Daphnia pulex: one gene and its partner. The main gene of each other region encodes a partner of the protein of the gene in region 2 in a complex. Links are inferred from orthologs where the notes say so. Each region holds a gene or a part of one and is shown on either strand. Other genes may lie near its edges.

What was found. The genes of interacting proteins can lie anywhere in the genome.
Region 1: the proteins of protein transport protein Sec31A-like (region 2) and programmed cell death protein 6-like are in contact, whole or in part, in a crystal structure (PDB 3WXA), measured with the Homo sapiens proteins. The link is inferred for Daphnia pulex from reciprocal best matches to the Homo sapiens genes SEC31A and PDCD6. Residues at the interface, in NP_001070675.1 of Homo sapiens: Asn837, Pro838, Pro839, Pro840, Pro841, Gly842, Phe843, Ile844, Met845; in NP_037364.1 of Homo sapiens: Val31, Val35, Leu48, Ala51, Leu52, Ser53, Asn54, Gly55, Thr56, Trp57, Phe85, Trp89, Ile92, Gln96, Phe99, Phe148.

The regions. Positions count from the first base shown.
Region 1 is NC_060019.1:5,645,499-5,652,873, reverse strand, and holds programmed cell death protein 6-like, read right to left. Parts: upstream 4,427-7,375; 5' UTR 4,151-4,426; coding exon 4,071-4,150; intron 3,999-4,070; coding exon 3,892-3,998; intron 3,802-3,891; coding exon 3,649-3,801; intron 3,583-3,648; coding exon 3,467-3,582; intron 3,389-3,466; coding exon 3,287-3,388; 3' UTR 3,123-3,286; downstream 1-3,122. Other genes in the region: PHAF1 protein CG7083-like, read left to right, coding at 85-167, 232-359, 428-804, 869-984, 1,046-1,141, 1,209-1,291, 1,372-1,465, 1,532-1,678 and 2 more. UniProt on the Homo sapiens protein: Calcium sensor that plays a key role in processes such as endoplasmic reticulum (ER)-Golgi vesicular transport, endosomal biogenesis or membrane repair.
Region 2 is NC_060028.1:9,227,199-9,235,759, forward strand, and holds protein transport protein Sec31A-like, read right to left. Parts: upstream 5,160-8,561; 5' UTR 5,010-5,159; intron 4,707-5,009; 5' UTR 4,698-4,706; coding exon 4,495-4,697; intron 4,434-4,494; coding exon 4,010-4,433; intron 3,946-4,009; coding exon 3,751-3,945; intron 3,694-3,750; coding exon 2,338-3,693; intron 2,265-2,337; coding exon 918-2,264; intron 850-917; coding exon 778-849; intron 716-777; coding exon 527-715; 3' UTR 339-526; downstream 1-338. UniProt on the Homo sapiens protein: Component of the coat protein complex II (COPII) which promotes the formation of transport vesicles from the endoplasmic reticulum (ER).

The DNA.
Region 1 (7,375 bases), on a different chromosome or scaffold from region 2:
CGTTATGCCATTGAGTGTACACAAGCATACGGAATCGCACAGTATACTTATATTGGTTTGTGTACTTTTCAATCTTCATTATAGGAATGCAGTTTTCTCAAGCAGTTTGCATCTGCATGTCTCAGGTAGCAGTTATGAAGAGAGTCCAAGTAATATATAATGAGAATGTAAGTAAAATCTTTTAGCATACACACACAAACTTCGTGAACATACATGTTATTTGCTGTATAGGACCCTTTGGCTTCTGACCTTATTTTAAGTCTTACTTTGGATGGAATTCGCCTTTTATTTGATTCAGTTTCACAGCGCCTAAAAGTGATTGAGATTTTTGCCATGAATCTCATCAAACTGAAATACTGGTAATAGTAAAAATATTTTAAAATTTAGACAAGATTAGGAGAAATAATCATGCCCTATTTTGATATAGTGGCCTGGTTTTCAATTCAACTGATGTTATCCCAACCATAGATCAAATAGATCATTCTTTTGGAGCTACACACCCTGGAATATATGATCCTGAGAAAAGAATCTTTACTCTAAATTTCCGTGGCCTATCTTTTACCTTTCCAGTTGAACAGGCTAGCGAACCGAGATACGTTCGAGGACTTGGATCGCTTCAATTCACCAACGGCGCGTCTCCTATAGCAACAAAGATGTTCATTTTCAGTGGAAACAGCTTGGTTGACAGCAAACCACCTTCGCTACCGATATCCTGCTTTTTTTCTCATCCTTATCTGCAATGGCTCGAAGTTATTCGTCATAATGGATGTACATCTGGTATCAAGCTCTCCATTATTTGTGAAGGTTCGGCTCAAACATTGATAAATTTAGAAACTAACTTTCAAATCAATGTAATTTTGCGTTTTAGGTCCATCTCAAGTATTGGAACCTAGACGACATGCCTGTGTCCAGGAATTATTTTTTGGAGCTTCTGCCGAAGATGTGCTTACGCTGTTGGGAGCTCCATCTCGCGTGTTTTATAAAGTAAAATGTGCAAATATATGTACATGCACTTTATAAATTTAATTCTTATCGTCGATGGTAGGACGAAGACAAAATGAGGATTCACAGTCCACAGGCGCATCGTCGAGCTCCAGCTTCTTTTTCGGATTATTTTTACAACTACTTCACTCTTGGATTAGTATACTTAAAATTATTCTAGATTTCATTTTTAAAAGTTTCATTACAAATTTCCCGTTTTAAAAAAGGATGCTTTATTCGATGGGAAATATCACAAGTTGAAGAAGTTCGTACTGCATACGAATTATCCAGGACATTACAATTTCAATATGTAAGTGAAACATTTTGCAGTGAATGCGTGGGAGCTGGTCAATGCTTAATTATTTTTTTTTAAAATTCTCTCTCAATTAGGTATCACCGATGTGAGTTTAAGCTCCAGTTGCCGACCAAGGCCACTTCCGTCGATAATTCGAGATTGGTCGATTTATCGCCGACATTTATCACTGTTGGTTTTCAATTCACATATATGTTCTTGCGTGAAACCAATGTCATAAATTATTTACGAATGTAGGTATCTGCTTATTCACGTTGGGATGAAGTTTGCGAGAAAGTGCAGCCTAGTTCACGTCCGATTGTTTTACATCGATCGTCATCGACGAATACAACAAACCCCTTCGGTTCTACGTTCTGCTACGGGGTTGAGGATATTATTTTCGAGGTGAATAACGATTTTTAGATTCCTAAAATACTGAAAGCTTTTAATGAATTTCTCTTTTTGAATGTAAGGTGATGCCAAATAACCTTATAGCATCTGTAACGCTTTACGCATCCGATGATATCTCGCATGAATTACAATCGTAAAAGGATATTAGTCCTATAATTGGAAAATTTTATTACCAATATAATATAAACAGGATTTTTGTATTTGCCCAGGAAACAGACTGACGCCATGAATTGATCTTAAGTGCGCATCTCTTTCGTGATTGTATGTTGTTTGAACGCAAAATAATGTAATAAAACACACTAAACATTAAGCACCAATTACTTTTCCAATGTTAATGTCTTATTCAAACATTCATATAGCTAGTTTGGAGTTTGGACTAGCCTATAAGACAATCAGTTATTGTGATGGCTGTGCGTTATGAGTTCAGGAGTAAAAAAAAAGAAGTTTGAATTGATTGTTCTGATAAAAGAGTAAATTGTAACAGTGTATATTGAAATATGTGTAGCACCCTTGTAAAATTTCGAAACATAGGGTAAAAGGTCTTTGCATGCCTCCATTTTTCACGATAACTCAGAAGTCAGAACGTTTGATTTATCGCATCATCAATCTAAAAAAATAAAATAAAATAAAATAACTTATATCATGAAACTAAATGCGTCTGGTTATTCTAGAATACCACGATGATGAATAAAGAATTAACGGTACAGAAAATAAAGGTCCAAGATAGGCTACATGTATAAACGAAATAACGTGCGCTCAATAAAAATGAAGTTGTTGAATAACAATACGACTGCTAAATATTTACTATTAACACAAATGCTATAATTAATAAACTGTTCTGTAATGTTGCCAACTATCCTATACATTCATCGCGGAAATATTTTCTACAATTTGGTGACGTAGGCTAATAAGTATGGGTTATGTCGATTTGAGGACAAACCTGACTACAATGACAATAAATTACTCGTACCCTCGTAAACTTCCCGTTTACGCCCAAAAAAGAATCTGAACATATAAAGTTGCAGAAGTGAATGATAAGCTAAATAATCACTCACTTTTACTAACATCAATTTTTGTTCATGGTTAAATTCTATTTCCGTATTCTATTTTCTGGATTGTCAGGGAAAAAATATTGGAAACATGTTAAAAAAGTCGAATAGAATAGGGCAGGCACACTTTACCTCTACGACAATGCGCTGGCATAACAGACCTTCTAAAATGACTCATTTTATCTTGATTATATCGCTTTATCTTTACACGACAGATACGAAATAGATGCCCTATTGCTGTAGTTTGTTTACAGTGCGTTGTGTGCTATTACGAAAAGTTCCGTTGCTGTGTACGATTGATGCTGATCCTTGAGCAACAATATTATCAAGCAATCAGATCGCACACAAGGTGTTATACTGATTCACACAGTAGTTATATCACAGTAAAATAACATTTCATATGCAAGTTTATTCAAAAGGGAGAAGAGTTCAATCAACTGCCAGGAAAAATCAAGATATTGGCTGTTACAGAATCTCTATATGAGCAAAGAAACATACACAAACAGCAATAAGGAAGTGGTAAATTTAGTAGCTTAGGTATATTAGCTGAAACTTATACGCGGGTGTTGAGGACCATTTGAAGAAAATGTTCATATCCGATAGTAATGACACCGTCTTGATCGGTATCGAATTGACGAAACGCTGAAGTCAAGTTCTGTCATTGAAAACAATATAGATATATGAAAAAATGATACTTTCATTTAAATCATAGATATGTAAAAATCTTTCTTACATGTAAAACGATGCAACACTGAATGAAATCATCAAAATATATCGTTCCTTTTCCCATACGATCGAATTTTCGAAGCAACATATGATGAGTTCCGTCTTGCAAACGATAGCCGAAACCTATATTAACACAAAAGAACACTTAGTATATTTAAAAATTGTCAGCCAACTTTAATGACAAACTACTTGTAAGTGCTGTTCTTAGTTCATTGCCATCAATGTTCCCCGAATTATCTCTGTCAAAACTTCTAAAGCAAGTTTGCCAATCAGTGACATACTTCCAGATTGCTCCAAAATCTTCAAAGGAAATAGTTCCTCTTTGTTGACGATCAAACATACCTGTAGTAGTGCACAATTCAAAACGGAACATTAGTACAAAGGGATACAAAATTATCATTAATGCCTCTCATACAGCTGTCAAACACATACCAATCATAAGTCTAACAGTTTCCGAGTTAAATGGAGCCCATGTTCCATTGGATAGAGCTGATTGCAGCTCTTCGGCAGTTATTGCTCCACTTCTATCTTTGTCAACTCTAAAAATTTCAATAAATATATTTTAGTTGTAATTTTCTCCCTGAATTTAACCCACAACAAAATTGTTTAACCTTTGAAACACCTGCCAAAGAAAATCACGATTTGGAGCAGCTGGAACCGCACCCGGCCCTTGATAGTGCTGATAAGCCATTGTGTAGACTAAACGCGACTAAACGTTTATAAATAGAATTCACTCAAGTACAATACGTTTTTTAAACTGCCCGATACCAAAGGGTGTTATTAATAAGTAAAGGGATTTTTTTGTAGTGGCCAACAGTCAACTTAATTCACTGAGTTGCACTGAATCAACTTGATGTCTCAATCATTGATGACTCAACACTCAACAGTCAATCCAAGTCCAAAGTCGAAACCCATGAGCCATGACTGCTGTAAAATAAAGACAGGAGTCTTGGACGATAATCGACGATCCGTATGTTTAGGGCTGTGGCCCGGGACGTTTTTAGCGGGTTTTTTTTCAATGGGTTTTTTAGATGGGTTTTTCTTCTTCCGCGGGTCGGAGCGGGTTGGGCCAACTGAGTGAACGGGTTTGGCCCGGGCCAACCCATGGGTCAAAAAATTTTTACCGGTCGGGTAACGGCCCGGGTAAAAAATCGGGTCAAACACACTTTTTTTTTTACAAACTTAAAAAAATTCCCTAAATTTCTTAATTATCTTCTTCTTCTAACAGTGACACGTCAATTCTGTCTTCTGAACACCCCTGAACGCCCTTTTCTACCACTTATCCTACTTTTCATGCTACGAAATTATCGTAGAGCATTTGGCGGCAATATTTTGAGGCCGCAGGCATAGAGAATAACGAGCTTCTCTATGTGACTACTAGATGGCGCCACCGCTCGGGTTGGCCCGCGGTACCGGGAGTTCAACCCGTCGCCCGCCCCGTTAAAAAAAATGCCTCGATGGGTCGAGTCGGGTTGGGTTTTTTTTCGTTCAGCCCGGGCGGTGGCCCGGGTTTTCATCGCCCGGGCCACAGCCCTATATGTTGGCTCTATAATTTTTTTGTGGGTAAATCAGATTTTACAAAAAAAAAAAAATAGTTATTGGCTTGCTAAATGTTTCTATTACTGATAATTAATATAACGAGAAATTTAAGTATTTGTTCAGAAGAATTTGAAAAAGGGAGAAACGCCGGTGCCATCTAGGTGCCAAACATACTGAAAACCAGTTTACGCGATCGATTAGTTTATCACGATTGATCGCTTATTTTTTTCTGATCAAGAGGAAGCGGTTGACCTAAAGACCACTAATTATAAAGACCCGTGGTCTTTATCTATGACATCACACCAATTTTTCAATTTATAGAGCGTGATCGAGATCGAATCGATAATCAAATGCTAAAAAAAAAGTACGCTAAAAAATCGAGTACGCTACAGTTCGAGTCCATCCGCTATCAATCGAGTACACCACAAGTCCACAAGTTATAAACAATTTTGTTATAAATAATGGTAATAGTTTCATCAACAATAGGGTAGAAGGCCTAGAAGCATGAAAAATAATTAATTTTTGTTTTGAATCCTCCTTATAGATGTTATTCCAACCAAAAAGTAGTAGACATGCCAAAAAGTCGTGCGCAGTTTACGCCGGTGCACACCACTGCGGGTCTGCGGCCGATAGCAGAACGACAATTTTTATTACGCTTGACAGATGACGTAGGTACAATCCTTTGTTCGAGAAGCAGACAGTTCTGGAACAAAGGATTGTACCTACGTTAAGTGTCAAGCGTAATAAAAATTTCATTCTGCTATCGGCCGCAGTGGTGCGCATCGGCGTAAACTGCGCACGACTTTTACTCAGAGATAAGGAGATGGGCCACTCTGTGTAAAGTCCAGTAGTCGACTTTTTCCCCCCTCCTCCTCCTTTTCGACTGCCCTGCTCCTTTCGGCGAGCTCCGGAAGCATTTCCCAGTAGTTCTCCCCCTTCAGGACCGCCCCTACCACCAAGTAAGGTAAAGCTTCCGGAGCTCGCCGAAAGGAGCAGGGCAGTCGAAAAGAAGGAGGAGGGGAAGTCGACTGCTGGACTTTACACAGAGTGGCCCATCTCCTTATCTCTGCTTTTACTCGACTACTACTTTTAAGTTGGAATAACATCTATACAACTTTTTTTTTACTCTCCTTTGCGCCCCTTGCGGAAACCAGCTTAGTTCCACTAAATATGAAGGCCGATATGACTTCTATGGGTCTAAAATGAAGGCCAACAGATAAAACCTTCTGCTTGCTTCCGGAAGGAGCGCGGCAGTGAGAACAAAATATGGGTGCCAGGCAGAGAGGGAAAAGGGAAAAATGAGCCTCTCAGGAAATTAGTCATATCTCAACCAATAAAATCCGGAAAGAAAATTCCTTTTGGATTTTAATGGTTGAGATAGCAATAAACCTTTCTATAAAATAAGTTTCTGCTATAGCCCCTATACCTTTCAGAAAAGCGATGTCAAAGTACCCCCCATTTCTGATAAATAAAAAAAAACTCAAACTTTAACGCTTAATATCTCGTAAACGGGTGGGAATTTCGTCTTTCTGCAAACGCAAGTAAATCCGGCGTGTAGAGACAAAAATGACAACATATATTTTTTATATTTCAAATTCCTTTTCCGGATATAAATCTGGAAAGCTGCTCCGGGATTTCGGTCTACCTGAGTCATGGATCGCTTGTTAAACATGAAAATCATTTTGTCAAAATGTTAAGGGTTTTTGGTTTCTAGAAGAGTTATGACCCATGTGAGGATCGATCCATTGATATACGCCATTCCAGGCCATTTCTCTACCACCAAGATACGGATAATTTTTTTTATAACGCAATATGAGTCCCGTTCCTTCGGGGGTTTATTTACATCATTTATTACTACAACTAATTTTAAAATTCTGAAATTGGCATCAATGTCCAAAGTGCAGACGACGGGAAGTGTTGGATTGTTGTTGCGTAGTGCTAACAACGTGCGTCACCAAACAGTGAAATAATATCAGACAACTTTAATGGCGTCGTCTCAGAGAAATGGGAAATTTCGTGAGTTTCGCGGGTTGACAACTACTTCGAAACTTTTCTCGGAAATTCGATTTAAATGTTTTCCAAAAAATCCCTCATTCCCTCCTACATAATATATTACCTCCGGTTCGTCACCAGTAACAGAAAAATTATTTTCCTTTTGCCCAATTAATGAGTGAGTGTTAATGATTTGACCCGCGGAAAAAATTACGTGGAATTAAACTATTGTTAAAATATTATGGAAAAACCAATTGTGGTGGAAATTTTAATTATTATTTTTAGCATTAAGAGCAATTTAACTACAATGAAGTTCGTTTACTGCTTCTCTGCCTTTTTAACAAGCTTCTAAAGGTGCGTTTACACTGGAAGGAACGCAACGTTA
Region 2 (8,561 bases):
CTCTCGTAGATGATTGATTGTATCGACGCAACAATAACATATAGGGAACCACCGCTTCGTTAATTCTGGAAAAATCACAAATATTTACACGGTAGTTTAAATTCCTGGAAGACTTGCTTGCTTGCCTCTCCTTCCTGCTAGCTTGAGGATTGCCGAGCCAACTTGAGAAGTCAGTAAGTATTTAAGTTTAAAAGTTCTAATTCAACATGAAGTGTGAAGTTTCGAATCAACATAGTGTCCATTAGGATTGTGAAATTATTTTCTTTCTCCTAAACAAAATATTCATGTTATAAAAATTAATAAAAATATAAGCCACACCCAAAAGAGTACTTCGATCATTGTAAATAGCATAGATTTTAATGAATTCTCTGGTTAAAGAAAAGGGGGAAGGTATTAACTACACACACATCAAGAGAAACGAAGTGTGGAGCGACGAAGCCAACTTTTCTGCCTAACATGCGAGCACAAATCAGACTTTAGATATCATATCTCATAGAAAAAAAATCTTTCTTTTCCCCCAATGTTGCTACTGGTATTGGACTCCCAGTTGCTGAGCCATCTGGAGAAGCACTTTTAAACCAGATATGAACGATCCGATTTCGGTGAAGGGCGTATTGATCACCACATTAGAGTGTAGACTAAGACTGGTCGCGTAATCGTACGCCTGAACAGCTTGCACAATCTGATGTAACCCCAAAAGGGTGGGGCTCAGCAACTACAATAAATTTTACGAACATTAGCTTTACCAAAAAATATTGAATATAGTTGATGAATTACCATATTTTTCCGTAACAGATCATCCAGGCACTCTAGCTTCTTTCCTACATCGTCTAGCTTTCTCTTCAATTGCTAAAAAGAAAAAAAAAATTATAAAATAATGATCTCGTCATGATAATATAATTCTAGTAGTTTCTCACCGCATTGGAGGCTAGTGCGGCACATTTATCTTTCAACGTGTGGAATACATCGTGAATGATTAAGTGTTCGTTTGGAATCGGAAGCAAGGCTTGGGCTGGCTGGATTGGCTCAGGCGCCTGCTGGTGGTGTTGGTTTTGAATCATATCAACTGGAGCATTCATTGCTCCTTGATTGAATGACCCTTCGAAAGGCTGAATAATGGGAATGGCTGGCTGTTCCACAACACCCATGGGGTGATTGATAGTTTCAATGACAGCTGGCTCAGCTTTCACTTTAGCGAACGACGTTAGAGGAGGTGGATCGTTCCAACCAGGAGGCGCGCTCGCGGTGGGAAGAAATGGTACGGAGGGCACGAGATTGGTAGCCAACGGAGGAGTTATAGATGGTGGAGCATCAAATGATGTTGGTTGCATAAATGCGCTTTGTTGCTGCGGCGCTTGAGCGTGTTCCATTGGATTGTAAAGAGATGGAGGCTGTTGGACATTATCCATTACTCCGCCGTTAGACATCTGCCCGCTTTGCATATTGAACGACCCAGGGGAGGGCGGTAAAGGCTGGTTAAACTGATTTCCAGGAAAACCGCCCTGTTGCGCGTAAGATGACGGAGTGTTGAACTGACCAGTAGGTTGGAACATCGCCGAATTCGATTGTGGTGGCTGGGACATGTAACCCATCTGATTGACTTGCTGGAATTGTGAATTCGACGCAGCGTTGAAATATCCACCAGATCGACCACTGGAAACGCTAGGATCCTGGACGTAAACTCTGTTACGTTGATTCAGTGATCCCAAGCGCGAAACATTCCCTGTTATCGGGGGAGGGGCCACCGTAGCTGCTGCAGGCGGTGGTGGAGCAGGCTGATGATACTGCTGCGAAGGCTGGACGCTTGGAGGTTGATGAAATTGCTGCGAAGGCTGGATGCTCGGGGACTGATGAAATTGTTGCAAAGGCTGGGCACTCGGAGCTTGGTAAAATTGTTGTACAGGCTGGCCACTTGGAGGTGGTGCAGGTGTATTGGCCGTTGGAGGCATCGAAGTCGCTGCTTGAGGAGAGTTGTAAGTATTAGTGGACGTTGCCCAATTATTGCCCTGGAATGGAGTTGTAGGTTTCGGGGGATAGGCTGGCACAGCTGGAGCTGAATTAAATTGATCCTGATGACCGTAATAGCTGTTTGTTGGTGTAGAAGACCTATTAATTCCAACCGATGGGTATCGCTGCAGCGGCCCAGCCTTTTGCTGTTGCGATGCCATGCTGTAAGCACCGTTCATCATTCCGGTAGAAACCTTACGGTCGACCGGATTCAATGCGCGTTGAAGTCTGTCCTTTAATTCTACCATCGAATCGTCCTACATGAAACAAGACAAAACAAAAACATTAACGTCTAGATCGTGAATGCGTTCAAGAGAATTTTATTTTTACCTGCGACATATCGAGATAAGTCAGTGCTGCTTCCAGACTGCCTTGGCCAGCCAAGAGTCCGGCGTAACGACAAAGTTGTTGGGTAAGGTGACCTGAATTAATAGCCACAGGTTGACGACCCCAGTGTCGCTGAGCTTGGCGAAGGACCATGATTTGTTCTACCATCTCTTGTAGGGATGCCGTTGAATCATCCTCGACTCGCAGCCAACAGTCGACTACTTTCTCCATGTTTCCAGCGCAAATGTAGCAAAGAACTGCTTCGTTTGTGGCTCCTGTTTCGGCCTCGAGCCTCTGACCAATTGTCTGACAAAGGTTGGCAAATTCGTTATCTTCTGCGTAGGTCAGCGTTGCAGCCAATGCTTCCTTCCAGTTGCTCATATCGCAATGTTGAACGATCTTTTCCCAGTCCCGAGTGACAACAGCTTGGATCAGACGCGGAACGTCACCCTGTGTCAAACGGAAATAGCGGTTTCTAGTGGCGGTCAGCAGCTCCGGTGGCCCAGTCATGGCCAGCACAATGGCATCTGCATAACGTTTATCGTTGAAACAAAGATCTACTGCCACAGCTAGGTTGCCAGTGATCAAAGCTTTGCTGATCTTGCCGTCAACAGATTCGTCGGTAGGGATTTTGAAAGTTTTGACTTCCGCAGCGATAGAATCGAATGTGTCAGGCATTCCCAAACCTTCCAATGCGTCGACTACACCATCTTCAGAAGTAGTTGGCTGGGGTTCGTAGTTCAACAGTTGCAGCAACTGCTGTCGGGGAGCTGGGCTAAAGTTTGCCGCCAGGAAGTTCCATGCCTCCTTGTGTTCGCCATCGGATTCCATTTTCTTGACGCAAAATTCAGCCAAATTTCCAGTATTTAGAGCTGTTTCTAGCTCATGGGAACGTAGTGTTAACTCATTTTCGGTTATGACTTGACTAATGTGCACTTGTGGCGTGGTGCTGGGAGTCTCCAAGCCAAATGTGACCAGCTTTCCGCCAAATGCAAATGATGCTCCACAGATTGGACGAATCCATTTGGGTGCCTTCTTTAGTTGTTCATGGACAATAATTTGCTGTTGGGGTGGTTGCAATGCTGGGGCAGAATCCATCCCAGGAAAAGAATCGGCAATCATGTTGACAGTGGGTTGCACAGCCACTTCTCGTCCTCCCATGATGGAATGAACTCGTACGTGGCCGTCAAAACTAGCGGTGGCAATGCAAGACGGATTTCTGGGACACCACGCCGTATCGAAGCACCATTGGCTGCTAGTGCTCAGCTCACAGAGAATTTCACCACGAGGAGCTAGGCTGTTAGGATTCCAGATTAACACTCGGTTATCCTTGCCACAACTCAATAGAAGGTCAGGATCCTAAAAATGTAAATATGGTTATGAAAAGTTTATTTCAATATGGATGTTTAAATAAACCTGAGGACACCAATCCATTGCTAGGATGCCTCTCTGATGACCTTCAAACGTGTTGATAGGAGCCGAAGCTTGCCTAAGGTCCCAGAATTGAATGACGGGCAACTGATCTTCTTCGGAAGCTAGACACAACTGGGTAGCAACTTTAGGATGCCAAGCAACTGCCTTGCAGCGCATTCTTGACGTACTGTCACTGACCTGTTAGCCATAAAAGATTAGAGTTAACAAAATAAGATCGAATTAAAGTAAATTACTAACACACCTTGATGATGGGCTCGTTCTTTCTTAAATCCCATACGACGCAACGCGTTGCGAAGGTTGATGCCAAGATATGTTGCACTTGTCTATTCCAGGAAAGGCATGTAACATCGTCTGGTGGTTGAGAAAGCGTTCCAGGTGTCATCGGCGCAGCAGGACTATTCAAATCCCAGATATAAATTTCCGACTGAGCTGCTCCCGATGCCAATAAATTTTGTTGGAAGGGATTGAAGTCAAGCGCCTTGACAGCCCCACTATGTTTTTTACTATCTGCCAATAAGTATCCACCAGTTTCATCATTTTTTCCCAACAGCAATTTATCTGCATCAAATAGAAGAATGTGTCCTTGATCTGCACCACCAACTATGACTCCACCAGGATTTTCCCCACTAGTGATTCCCTGTGAGCCCCACACCAACTTGTGAAACCTGTAGATGAAAATCTTGTAGTATCTGAATCTTTTGTAATGTTATTGAAACTGAAATATACCTTTGTTTAGTGGATATTGAAGCTTTCAATCCCATACCAAGACCAGGTTCATTTAAATCCAATGAATATAGATCAATTTGTGATGTGGTGCTAAACGATGCATCAAGCTGCTGAGCAGCTGTCCCCGTAGCCAAATATATTGGATACTGTGAGGCAGGGGACCATGCAATATTTGCAGTTTGTTCAACTTCTTTAATTTTCATTTTCTAAGCCTAAAACGGAAAAATCAATTAATCTCAGTTCAAACAGCATGCCTTGTTTTGGTAGGAATCATCTCATTCTATAATCATCATTTTGTAAGGCACAGACAAGAGGTAACATAACGAGATATTTTTACATTTAACATTCATTTATCTATTTTTGGGAGAAATATTCTGATAGTAATGTTTGAATTCTTAACTGGCAACTATTGATACAAAGACTGGCATACACCCACTGTAACCAGGAAGTTGTTTCAGTCTCATCACAAATCAATAAAAAGTATAGAACGTTGTTTGATATTAGCTTTAACTCACCTCTTAAGAATCTCCGATAGATGACAAATTTCAATATCAAACTAATTTTCTAATGGTTTTCTTAATATTGCCGGTTGAGAGAAGAAAATTTGTCCACAATGTTGTCACTTAGCTGACGTGGCCGGAGTGAAGAACGCTAGTGATACCTAGCGGCAGAATCAAGAACTGCTTTAGTGCAGAATCAGTTTTTCAGATGTCACTTTTTCCAAGGCGCCAACTGCAGAAATTTTAAAAAGCAAAATAGACATCCCATTGCGAAATAGCTTTAATGTAGTATGGAAGAGCATGAACTGTAATTGTGAACCAATATATAGAAAAGGTCTATGGTACGAAGTCATGGGATGACATTGTCGAATTTTTTCACTTCACTTTACCTCGCCAAGTAATAAATCTTTGAGACCAAGTTGTCGAACTCTCAAACTATTTCCAATAAAAAAATATCTCTTTGCGGAAATAAAATAAAAACCCTTGGTTTCAAAAAGCCCAATGTGAACTTTTTGTCATTTCGGTTGTGTTGGCAACTATTTTCATTTGTTTTTAATGGAAAGTAAAAAATCTTAAAGAAATATACTGAAAGAAAGAAGGAATTCCTTTAAAGTATGTCTGGCTTTTCTTTTTCTGGCCTGGCGAAATCCAAAAGTCACGTCACAACTTCCATAGCTAAAATAGAACGTTTCGAGTTGAACGAACTCGTAAAAAATAAACAAACTCGAACAGAAGTGGAAACACTCAAGGTAAAAGACTAAAAGGTAGATGTTTTGATCCCGGAAAAATGCAATGTCATTGAAAAATAAAAAAAACTGTAATAACTAATAACCGCAATGATCGAGTAACAAAACTGTAAAAGAACTAGAAACTTCGCAGTTTGAATAGTTCACTATGTATTATAAAGAAACAGTGATTACAAAGTAACGGCACTAAATAAAGGGGAACTTTTTAGGTAAAGTGAAAAGTGAGTCTGGTAAAAGTCACCGTGACCGATGCAAAACTTCACGATGACACGATTGCACGATGAAATCATGAAAAAAAGAAGAACGAAAGCAGCATGAATAAAACAAATTCGATGAAAAAGAAAGTTTTTTCTAGGCTTGGAGTTTAAGGTCTGGGTTAGAATGATAACGCGGGGAAGATAACATACCAAAAGAAAGTGAGCGAAAAAAAAATAATCTACAAAAGTAGCCTACAAGAGGAGTTCACTTTCTATACGGACCTACACCTTTAGGGCGATTTCCAATATTCACTTGGAAGCAGCACGATCAAATTTATAGTACCTTTGGGCTCAATTGACTTAAACCAACCGGTCAGAGTCGGTAATCGAAAGCTTGTATTTGAAACACCGATAAACCTAGATCTGATATCTTGTAGCTCCTCAGTAACTCAAAAAAACAATGCCTTCAGCTTGTAGTGGAAAAAATGCGTTAAAGACCAGAAAAATCATTTGTTTATAAGAAAGAAAAGGAACTATTCTTTGTATTACACAAAAGTTACGCCACACAACAAACGCGGAGGAAAAAATGGAAATGAAAGAAAAAGAAAAAGGGGGTTGTTAGATTCCTATGTACTATATGTATATACTTGATACCGGTAATCGCTATGATCAACACGATGGAAAAGACGGCGTGATTTGTTTAGGCGTAAGGCGGACTTGAACACCGTCTCGTGGCCGGAGAACAAGTTCCCCTATGAGGACGAGGTCTTCACGCTTCTCCAACGACTCGAGATGAAAGTTTCTTAGAACTGTGGCCAAAACAACTTTTTCCTCCATCACGGCATACTTCTGGCCTAGAAGATGAAACGCACAACGATAGCTAATTATAAATTGAAAAGTAACGGTACATAGTGTACGCCATCAAAGGAAAGAAGAGGCTGCAAACATTTAGTGCCGTAATACTTTTACAAGACAAAAGGGCGATGACCAGGCAAAACTTGGCGGACAATTCAGGAACTATACGGAACTATACTTTGCTATGAAATAATAAACGAATGAATGAATTACCGATACAATTGCGTGGTCCAGCGCTAAATGGCACATAGGCATAAGGATGTCTGCTACGTTTGTTATCGCCCATGAATCGCTCCGGGTCGAAACGTTCCGGGTCTGGAAACTGTACCGGATCTCTGTGAAGCGAGTAGGGAATAACGGCGACGGTAGACCCAGCCGGAATCACGTAGCCATCTGGGAAAGTGTGTCAGATAGTAAAGAGGTGCAATTTTATTCAACATTACACAGGAAATATGCTGGTGATGGATATGAATAATGCACAGCAATCAAAGAGAAAAGCGGAAAGATGAATCGCTTTACAAGAGAAACAAACATACGGATGGTGGCATCCTCGCTCAATGTTCGCCCATACATGGCTACGCTAGGAAAGAGCCTCAAAGCCTCTTTGATGCAACATTCCAAGTATTTCAGCTGGAGAATATCCGTCATAGTTATGGGTCGGTCGGAGGTACCAAAAATGCGATTCAGTTCCTCACTGACGCGCTCCTGTACCTCCGGATGGCTTCCAATCAAATACAAGCACCAACTGACCGCTGCTGCGGTAGTGTCTTGCCCCTGTGTTGGCCAACATTAGTTACATCATTCAACATTCCATTTCGGGAAATTAAAACACACCTCAAACATAAAGGTATCGACTTCTTCGCGGATGTCCAAATCACTCAGAAGCGTACCGTCCTGCGAAGCTTCAATCAACAGATCCAGGAAGGCCAGTCGGGGTTTTTCTGCATTGGTAAAAAACCAGTCGTGAAATGACCGAAGAAACATGGTGCCTTTTGATGATATCAGTATTATTTACTTATCAAATCGACATTGTCATCAACGTCTGCGGAAGTAGGAGATGTCTTGTTTTCTTTTTGTGCAAGTTCTTGAGCCTTGCGAATGCGATGCTCAGCTTTTCGCTCTTGCAGAACCTGTAATTCAAATATAAGAATCAAATTCACGACTTTGTTGGAAAGTTAAAACAACTAGAACGGACTGTATGCACCTCTTTATGACGAGACTCAAAAACTTGGCAATGACTAGTCATTATCTATGCGCAATGTAAATTTTACGGTTCTACCATATGAGCTGAAATTTCACCACATAAAACAGGTTTCGTATTTATGTAAAAATATTCTGTGCAAAGAGTAGAGAGAACCGGATTTAACGAGTCCACTATATAAAGACCGGCAAAAAAGCTATCAAGATAATAGGGGAATTAAATTTCAAATTGGTACCAACCTTATCTGTGAAACCGTGTAGAATATCAAGGCATTTCTGTTGGGTTTTCGCCATCGGGTGACACTGAAACAGCAATTCGGGTTGAAGCCAAGGCTGTGCTTGTCTTGTTTGAACAACCCGCCCAAGTCTGTCGCCGCCGCCACCCAAACCACAAAGCAAAATATAAATGACGTCAATAATAATTAATGACGAAAGCGAAAGCTACCGTTCACATTTTCAAAATGAAATAATCATCACTCACGTGCAAACGGCTTTGACGTACTCGGAGTCGTTGTTCAGCTGAGCGTCGACGTGACGACCCATGGCAGTTTCTGTTCATCAAGTCAATC